2 linked regions of the Macaca mulatta genome follow. The protein of the gene in region 2 interacts with the protein of the main gene of each other region in a pairwise test. Links are inferred from orthologs where the notes say so. Each region holds a gene or a part of one and is shown on either strand. Other genes may lie near its edges.

Region 1 (3,599 bases), on a different chromosome or scaffold from region 2:
GAGTTCCATTATGCCTCTTTGCAATCAGAAAAACCCCAACTTTCAAGCCAGGCAAAAACTGATTTGATTCAACTTATATCAGTACAGATTAGTTTTGCCTGTTTTAGAACTTATATAAATGCAATCATGCAGAAAACAATTGTGGCTGGTGTCTTTATAGATACAATTTTTTTTTCATTTTTTTAAGATTCATCTATGTTACTGTTTGTATCAGTAGCTTGTCACTTTTTTATTGCTTAGCAGCTTTAAAATGTATGAATACATCACAATTTGTTTATCAGTTCACTTGTTGGACATTTAGATTTTTATCAACTTTGGGGCTATCATAAAGGAAATTTCTATGAACTTTCCTATGCCAATATTTTTGAGAAAATATGTTTTAAAATCTGTTGGGAAAATTCCAAAAAGTGGAATTTCTAGGACATATGGTAAGCCTAAGTTTAACTTTTTAAGAAACTGCCACCAAGTCTTGGAGTGGTTGAACCCCTCACCAACAATCAATGAGAGTTTCTATTGTTACTATTTTCAAAAGTGCTTGGGACTGTCAGACATTTTAAGTTCAGCAATTATAATGGGTGTGCAGTGGTTTTTCATTCTGGCTTTATTTTACATTTCCCTGATAGTTAATGAGGTTGAGCATCTTTTCATGAGCTCGTTGGTAATTTGTGTATGTAGTTTTGTGAAATGTTTATTCAAATCTATTATTTGCCTTCTTGAGTTTTCGAAGTTCTTTATATATGCTCTGAATTCAAACCCACTGTCAGATACACATATTGTGAATATTTACTCCCAGCTTCTCACTTCATTTTCTTAACCATGTGGTTTAAATGGTAGTTTTTAATTTTGATAAATCCAATTTCTCATTTTTTTTTTTGTGATCTGTTCTTTTTCTGTCCTAAGGGATTGTTTTCTCAAAGATTATAAAGTTTTTCTCTATGTTTTATTCTAGAAGTTTTCTAATTTGAGTTTTTACATTTAGGTTTATGACCATTTTGAATTAATTTGTGTATAGTATAGATAAAAGGCAAGGCTCCTGTTTTTCCTTTAAGAATTCTGTTATTTCAGCACCATTTGTTTAAAAGACTATACTTTCCATATCGAATTACTTTGACATCTTTGTCAAAAATTAATTAACAGGCAGAAGGAGGTGAATCCTGGCAGCCAAGGGCAGAGAGAGGCAAGTCCCCAGAGAAGTGGGAATGGCCAACAGCTCCCTGAGAAGATGCCTTCCGTCCTTCCTGGGCAGGCAAGGGAAGTCTCAAGAATACACAAGAGAAGGGAGAGTGGCAGAGCCCAGGCTGGGGATGTTAAAAGGGACTCACGGTGAGGATGGGGGCGGGCCCGAAAGTCCCACCTGACTCCAGGCTGCAGGAGGGAGCGTGGGACGGGGGCGGAGCCGCTGGCGATGACAACAGCCCCACGTGATCGGCCAACACTGAGTCTTGCCTCTCTCTGGCGTCGGAGCCGCCGTCGCTCGCTCCTTTCTCGGCTGTGGTACCTGTTCCCGGTGGCCCTGAGGACGTGCGGGCCAGGTGCGGCCCCGAAAGCAGGAAGCGGAGGGGGAGCAGGTAAGGGAAACGGAGGGGGTCCCTGGGGTTGGTGTGGGGGAGCGGCCCCGGCCTGCGGATGCCCCACCCCCGAGGAGCCGCGCTGAGACGCAGCCGGTGCACGATGCAGCCCCGGGGCCCCGCCGCGGGACCGCGAGCCTTTAGTGAGCGGAGGAGTGCCTGGCCCCGCGGGAGCCGGCGGTCCTGAGGCTGCGGTCCTGAGGCTACGGCCCTTCTGAAGCACCTGCCTCCGCCACCAGCGCAATCTTTTCTGAGATCCCTGCTCCGCCCTTCTTGATGCAGAAAATGGTGGTCAGCTTGGGGGGCGGGGCGGCTGAGGCGCGGGGAGAGGGCGGCGAGGAGGGCCCGGGCCCGGCGCGGGGAAGGGGCCGGGTGGCGGCGGGTCCTCGCTAGTGTTCCGCTGCAGCAGCCTCCACTCTTCCCACCCCGGCCGTCTGCAGGTCTGCGAGGCTAAGTGTCGAGGCGACGCACCTCACGTCGAGAATCGGGAGGAGGAGGAGACTGCAAGGATAGGCCCAGGTCGGTGCGAGGGACGGTGGCGGGGCGGGGGTCAGAACATGACGAAAGCCCAGTCTGGGACCCCAGTCGGTGCCTTCACTGCTACGCTTCGCAATCCCCCACCCCCACCCCTTCTTCGTCCTCCATTTTGGCGCCTGCAGAGGCCTGGAGATGGATCTGCAGAGAAGATGGTGGGCTTTGCGGGAGAGAGGGGCGCGGACTGCCCCCCCCCAACCCCGAGGGTACACGGGGCCTCTCTGGTGGGAAAAAAAAAATGAAATTTAAAAAAGGCCTTTGAAATCCAGGGCTCTGAATTTTGAAAGGTGGGTAGTCGGGCCTCTGTCCTCGGTGCTGATCAGTTCACCAAGAATTGAGTCCGTTTTCTCTCTGTCTCATAGGAGTAATGGAGTCCAAAGAGGAACGAGCGTTAAACAATCTCAACGTGGAAAATGTCAACCAGGAAAATGATGAAAAAGATGAAAAGGAGCAAGTTGCTAATAAAGGGGAGCCCTTGGCCCTCCCTTTGAATGTTGATGAATACTGTGTGCCTAGAGGAAATCGTAGGCGGTTCCGTGTTAGGCAGCCCACCCTGCAGTATAGATGGGACATAATGCATAGGCTTGGAGAGCCACAGGCAAGGATGAGAGAGGAGAATATGGAAAGGATTGGGGAGGAGGTGAGACAGCTGATGGAAAAGCTGAGGGAAAAACAGTTGAGTCATAGTCTGCGGGCAGTCAGCACTGACCCCCCTCACCATGACCATCACGATGAGTTTTGCCTTATGCCCTGAATCCTGATGGTTTCCCTGAAGTTAATAGGGAGACCCCAGCTTCCTAAACTTACACATTTGTGGTGTACCTTTGTCGTAAACCTTTTGATGTTACCTATTTCTTGTGGGTCTCCTATTACCAGCTTCAAACTGAATGTTGTTTTGACCCAGTTTGTAAGTTTCTGTCAGCAGGGGAGTTTTACCTACTGCATGGAAAGATGCTCATTATATATTGTGAAGTTAATAAAATAGTTTAAAAAACCATTCTCTGCATTCTTTTTTACTTTAAATCTTAAATATGAACATAAACAGTCATATATGTACACATATATACACATATATAGAAAATCGTGTTTATCTTTGTGGTAGAATTAAGAGGGAGTTTATTCTTGCTTATCCATAATTTCTTATTTTTTAAAATGGAACACGTATTACTTATAAAAAGCAATGTGACCACCTTATAAAAGCAATGTGAGCACTTAATAAACACTTGTGACAGAATCTCAATTTTAACTTGCTTCTGGGATCTCTTTTTAGAAATGTTTGAGAGACACATCTCTTTGAAGATCATAATATTTATCAGTAAGATGAAGACAATCACCTCCCAGGCTTATTGTATGGACCAGAAAAGGTAATGAGGTTGTAAGCTTTCTCCCAAGTTCTTGTTCTTACTGACATGCATGACCCAACCCTTTAGATATTCCCTTCTGTTATTAGAGGAAATCTCCAAGGTGAGGTCTTCCCTATATTCACAAGTCCAGTGG
Region 2 (5,130 bases):
TGCTTGTTTGGTTACTAAAAAGGTGTATTAAAATTGTCCACTAAGAGTCTGGAGTTAGGATTTTCTATTTTTATCAGTTGTGTATCTGATACAACATTATTAAATGTATACAAAATTTGAACAGTTATATATTCCTGTGAATTACAATTTAATGTTTATGTATCATTCCTTTTTATCTCCAGCAAAGTGTTTATCCTTACCATAAACATTGTCTACAATCAAGACAGTCACAGCACCTGTTTGGTTTTTTTTCCCATCTTACTACTTTGAATGCTTCTGTATTTTTATGTTGTGTGTATTTTAAATAGGATGTTTCATTTTGATTGTAATGAAGTCTTATAGCCTTTGACTTTCAGTCTTTAAACTGCTTTCATTTAATCTAAGTTGTATGTAAATTTTCTATATTACTCTTACACTTAGTTTTTAGTGCTTTCTATATTTTATTATCTTTCCATTATTTTATTCTCACTGGTTTTAGTATTTTTGTTCTATTTTCCCTTTTATAATCTTGTTACTTTTATGTTGAAATCTTTTGTCTAAAGCCCCTTGTTGGGAAAGTCTAGAGACTTTGTATATCAAATACAAAGCACTGTGCCTCTGAGCCTAGGATTTGCTGTTACAAAGAATTATTGAGAAGGTGGCAAAACTGCGTAGGAACACAATTTCTGTTTTTATAGAGTGAGCTATTAATGCCATTGTAAGAATTACCAATATAGTGCTTTGTAAGTCCTCTTAAGATCTGCATCTGTTACATTTGGCCAGACCCACTTGAACAGTCCTTTTCATTAGATGCTAATTACTGGCTTCTGTGCAAGGGACAGAATGATTATTCACACAACTCACATCCACACAACAGCCAATCCTGTTAGGCTTTGACCTTCAGCTTTCGGCTCTGTATTTACTTTATTACATAAACATAAATATTGTGATGTATATTCTTTTATATATATTTTCAAATACATAGCTCTTATACATATATATTATATATATATCATTCTTAAATATATATTTCCAAATATAAATTATTTCATGTCAAGCTAAACAGGATAAAAACATGTAAACATATACACTTGGTTTTGGTCAAGTAAAACACAAAATCACAAGTTCATCACAGTTTAACAAGTGCACTTGAAGGGGAAGGAGGGAAAGAACAAACTGTAAACAGATGAGCAGCTGCAAGACCCTGCGAGGGTCCATTTGTTAAGGCTATTATAGCACAAAGCTACTAGTTCAATTAAAACTTCTCCTTTCACTCTGCCACATTTACTCTTGAGGGTCTTCAAAATAAGTGTGGAAATTCAGTAAACACTACACTAGAACTGAGTTAATCCTGTTGAAAACAGAGATGACAAAAAAAGCCATAAGCTGACATTAATATTAATTTCACCAAAACAGTAACTTTAAGGACTTATTTTTTTAAACACAGATAATCACCATAATCCTAGGAGGAAAGATATGCAGAATAGACAAGAAAACAGAAGCACTGCCTCAACAGCCCCTGAAAGCAATAAGAGTGTCAACACAGGGAAAACAGGCAATAGCAGACGACAGAACCTCAGCAGACTAGACCACATGCCACAGCACAATGCTACAGATTCAAATTGAAATATTCTTCCAGCTCATAATGAAGCAAGTCCCACTGGTCCTCAGAGAAGGGTAACTCATCTCTCAGTAAAAGAAACCGCTTAAACAACAGACTGGCCAGTCGAAGCACGACAAGCTCCTTCTTACGGCTTTTATAGAGCATGTCGCCCTCTCCCATTCGCACAGGCTCCACAAGTTGATGCCAGTATGCGCCGAATGACCCACCACCTGGCCCAGGAGGCTCATCTCCCCAGCCCTCAGGGTATTCATGCTTGTAAAAGCATGTGTCTCCAAATGGGCAGTTACCCCTGCCTTCCGCAAAATACCTGCAGGCCTTGTTGCTCATTGCCTCCTTGTATTGCTGAATAAGTTTCTGCTTCTCTTCCTCCTCCTCCACCCAGAACTCACTGGGAACGACCAAGTCGGAGGTGACCCTGCACTGCGGGCAAGACTTGATGATCCTGTTATCAAACTGTCTGGCACTTCTCCACCTGCGGATACACCTAATACAGAAGGTATGGTTGCAATTGGAAAGAATGCCAAAGCGGCGGTCATTGGGGTTGGCTTTCTCATAGACAACCTCCATGCAGATGCCACACACCTTGTCCATACCACGCTGCACAGCAAACGAGAGTTCCATATCTTTCTCGTGTGCTTCAATGCAGGCCCTTATATGGTCTTCCCTCTGGGCAGCATCCATGGGGTGCAAGGCCTGCAGCCCACACATGTCGCATATGTCTCCATGGAGGAACATACAGCTCTCCCCACGAAAGCAAACTCCCCTGGAAGCATAATAGCAAAACCGCAACCCCCTGCCCACAGCCATCTGCTTCCTCTCAGTCTCTGAGCTCTGTGGAGGAGCCTCGGGGGCAGATGCAACCCAGCGGCCCCGGTAGGGCTGCCCTGGAACAAACTCAATGGCATCCGCCCAGCTTTCTACACCTGCTCCTCCAGCAGCTCCACGGTCTGCATTGTCTCTCTCGGCTTCAAAGAAACCCCTTTCAGCAGCCGAGCCAATCACAGGCAAGGAAAGGGAGGATGCAGCCGGGGGGGCTTCCGCCACTTCCTGAGTCGGGGGCTCGATGTGCGCAGCCGTGCTAGGGCCTCCACCTGCAGAGGCCCCAGGCGGCGAAACGCTGCCCTCAGTGGCCATCTTCCGACCAGAAAGGTCGTGGGAATAGCGACAGTTCTCCCCCTCCTTGCACTGCCCATGTATATAATACCTGCAGATGATCTGCTTTGTCCAAATGCCGCTGCTTCGGCTTGGAAACGGATTGCGCCATGCTCCTCCTCCTGAGGCTGGTGCAGGCCTCAGGCCTCCTGTGCGGAGGTGGGCAGGGACTGGAGCTACAGGGAAGGGGGCCCAGCCCACAGGCGCATGTGGCAGGGCCGAATCTGGAGCAGCAGATTCCCTGGAGGGCTCACAGACGGGAAGGTCCGGCCCGGACACACCCTCCCCTGCTGCCTCAGCACCTGCCTGGGCCCCGGCTGCCTCCTGGGCTTCTGAGGGAGCTGCAGGCTCTTCCATGGCAGCTTCTTTACCCCGAAATGGTGCCAGAACGTCTCCGGTATTTTTTCTTTATGGGCTTGAGGCCCGGAGTCGCGGCCGCGCTCGGAGGCTTCTCTAGGGGAAGTGTGCATCTCTTTTTCTTCCCCCCCGGTTCTTGGCTGCCTGTGACTGTGTGTTCCTACCTACTTCCGGGCACAGGCAGCGCGGCGGACACTTCCTGTGGGGGCAACGTACGCGCCGCGCTTGGATTTTACCGCAATTTTCCAATCTGACATATTTTTTGTTCACACAGGCAGGGACCAACCCAGCCCCTTTTGTCTGCCTTCTGCCTCTGCTTCGCTGTGTTCCGGCAGCCCCTAATTCCCTCCTCACACCGTTTCCTCAGGAGAATGAGGTTTTACTTTAATCTCTTTTGGTTTCAGTCATGCACGTCTTCGTTGTATTTTCGTATCTGTCTGCTTTAAAAAAATTAGAATCCAATAGATTCTGAAACATTTCATACATGAATTAGATAAATCCTTTTTTGATTCACTCCATCTTATGTCTGCGTTTTTTTTTTTTTAATGCCCTGTCACTGCTGGAAGATTTTTTCGATTTGCTCTGTTGACAAAGCGTCGTTTCTTTTGGTCTTTGTTTTCTGGGATTTCTGAGGGCTTACGCAGGATACGCTTTTCACCAGCAAGGCATTAGCAGACAGCGCTTCTGATCCGAGGCTAAGTTAGCACCTTTCAGATGTCTTTCTTTATTGTGATTACTATGCTCGTTTTCCCACTGTGTAGAAGCCCCAGACTTCAATCATTCCTGATGCTGGCTGAATAAGGCACTGTCCCCTGCATGACCCAGGCTTTTATTTTCTCTACTGGTTTAATTCATGGCAGCCCTTTGTTTCTCTTGCTTTCTTTCAACCCCATCTGTGCTGTGTTGTGGCATACTATCCACAAAGGAATGGTCTTTAATTTCCATATATAAGCGTTTTGTCATTTTTGCAGATACGTGTAGTGGATTAATCATTTTTTTGTATTCCTACTTTGCTGAGAGTACGTATCATGACTGCATACTGAATTCTGTCATGTAGTTTTATATATTTTTTGAGATAATCTTGTTTTTCCCTTTATTCTCTTAATGTGATTATTTGCAGCTATGAGTTTCAAATATTTAACTGACCAATTTGTTTCTAATAAGAAGCCCTTCTGTGTCATGATATATCGTTTTATATATTATTGGATTTTTTTTTTTTCTGTAAGTTTCTTTGAGGAAATTTTGTTGCCTAAATCTGTAAAGTGGAAACATATCTGAATATTTATAATCACCCAAGTCAACAAATTAAATTATAATTAGGTAGGTAAAAGCAAAGAAAGCAGAATGAAGCAAATAATAAGGCCAAGAAAAGCAATGAAGAAAAACAAATATTAAATAAGGGAAATAAATTAAGTAAAATCCTTTAAACAGCTTATTGAAGCCAGATAATTTCTGGTGAAACTTATCAAGGAAAAATGAAGAAGGCTGTAATAACCAACATCAGTAATTTCAAATATGTTATCACTACATTAATAACAGGCATTAAAAATCATTAGAGAATATCAGGAACAAAATTAGGACATTAAACTTGAAAATTTACATGAAATAGTCATATTGCTGGAAACATCTATTAGTAAAAATGACAGGAGCAGAAATAAATGTGAATATGGATCTGTTACATCTGTAATTTAGATAATTATCTAAAAGGTTTCTAAAACTTTCCCTCTGAAATAAATCTAAAGGCAAAAAAATCTGTATTTATTATTGCAAGTCCTAGCTAGTGTAATAGCAAAGAAATAAAAGATGTTATAACTGGAAATAAATTATTGATGGAATGCAACAGAAAATTAAGAATAATTTACAGATAAGCTATTAGCTTTAATAGGTGCATTTAGCAAAGACACTGGACAGGAGTGCAATATACGAAAATCATTTTTATTTATCAATAACATTTGAAGTAAACATTTAAAATTAATAACATTCATAACAACATTAAAAGTTAACTAACCTAGGAATTA

Evidence for each region. The genes of interacting proteins can lie anywhere in the genome.
Region 1: the proteins of MKRN3 (region 2) and protein BEX2 interact in binary tests that used the Homo sapiens proteins (3 or more experiments, as listed by UniProt). The two-hybrid records come from large-scale screens. The link is inferred for Macaca mulatta from reciprocal best matches to the Homo sapiens genes MKRN3 and BEX2.

Annotation. Positions count from the first base shown.
Region 1 is NC_133426.1:109,951,033-109,954,631, reverse strand, and holds protein BEX2, read left to right. Parts: upstream 1-1,437; 5' UTR 1,438-1,844; coding exon 1,845-1,859; intron 1,860-2,008; coding exon 2,009-2,087; intron 2,088-2,464; coding exon 2,465-2,856; 3' UTR 2,857-3,099; downstream 3,100-3,599. UniProt on the Homo sapiens protein: Regulator of mitochondrial apoptosis and G1 cell cycle in breast cancer.
Region 2 is NC_133412.1:6,385,518-6,390,647, forward strand, and holds the start of MKRN3 (E3 ubiquitin-protein ligase makorin-3), read right to left. Parts: upstream 3,222-5,130; 5' UTR 3,113-3,221; coding exon 1,589-3,112; 3' UTR 1-1,588. UniProt on the Homo sapiens protein: E3 ubiquitin ligase catalyzing the covalent attachment of ubiquitin moieties onto substrate proteins.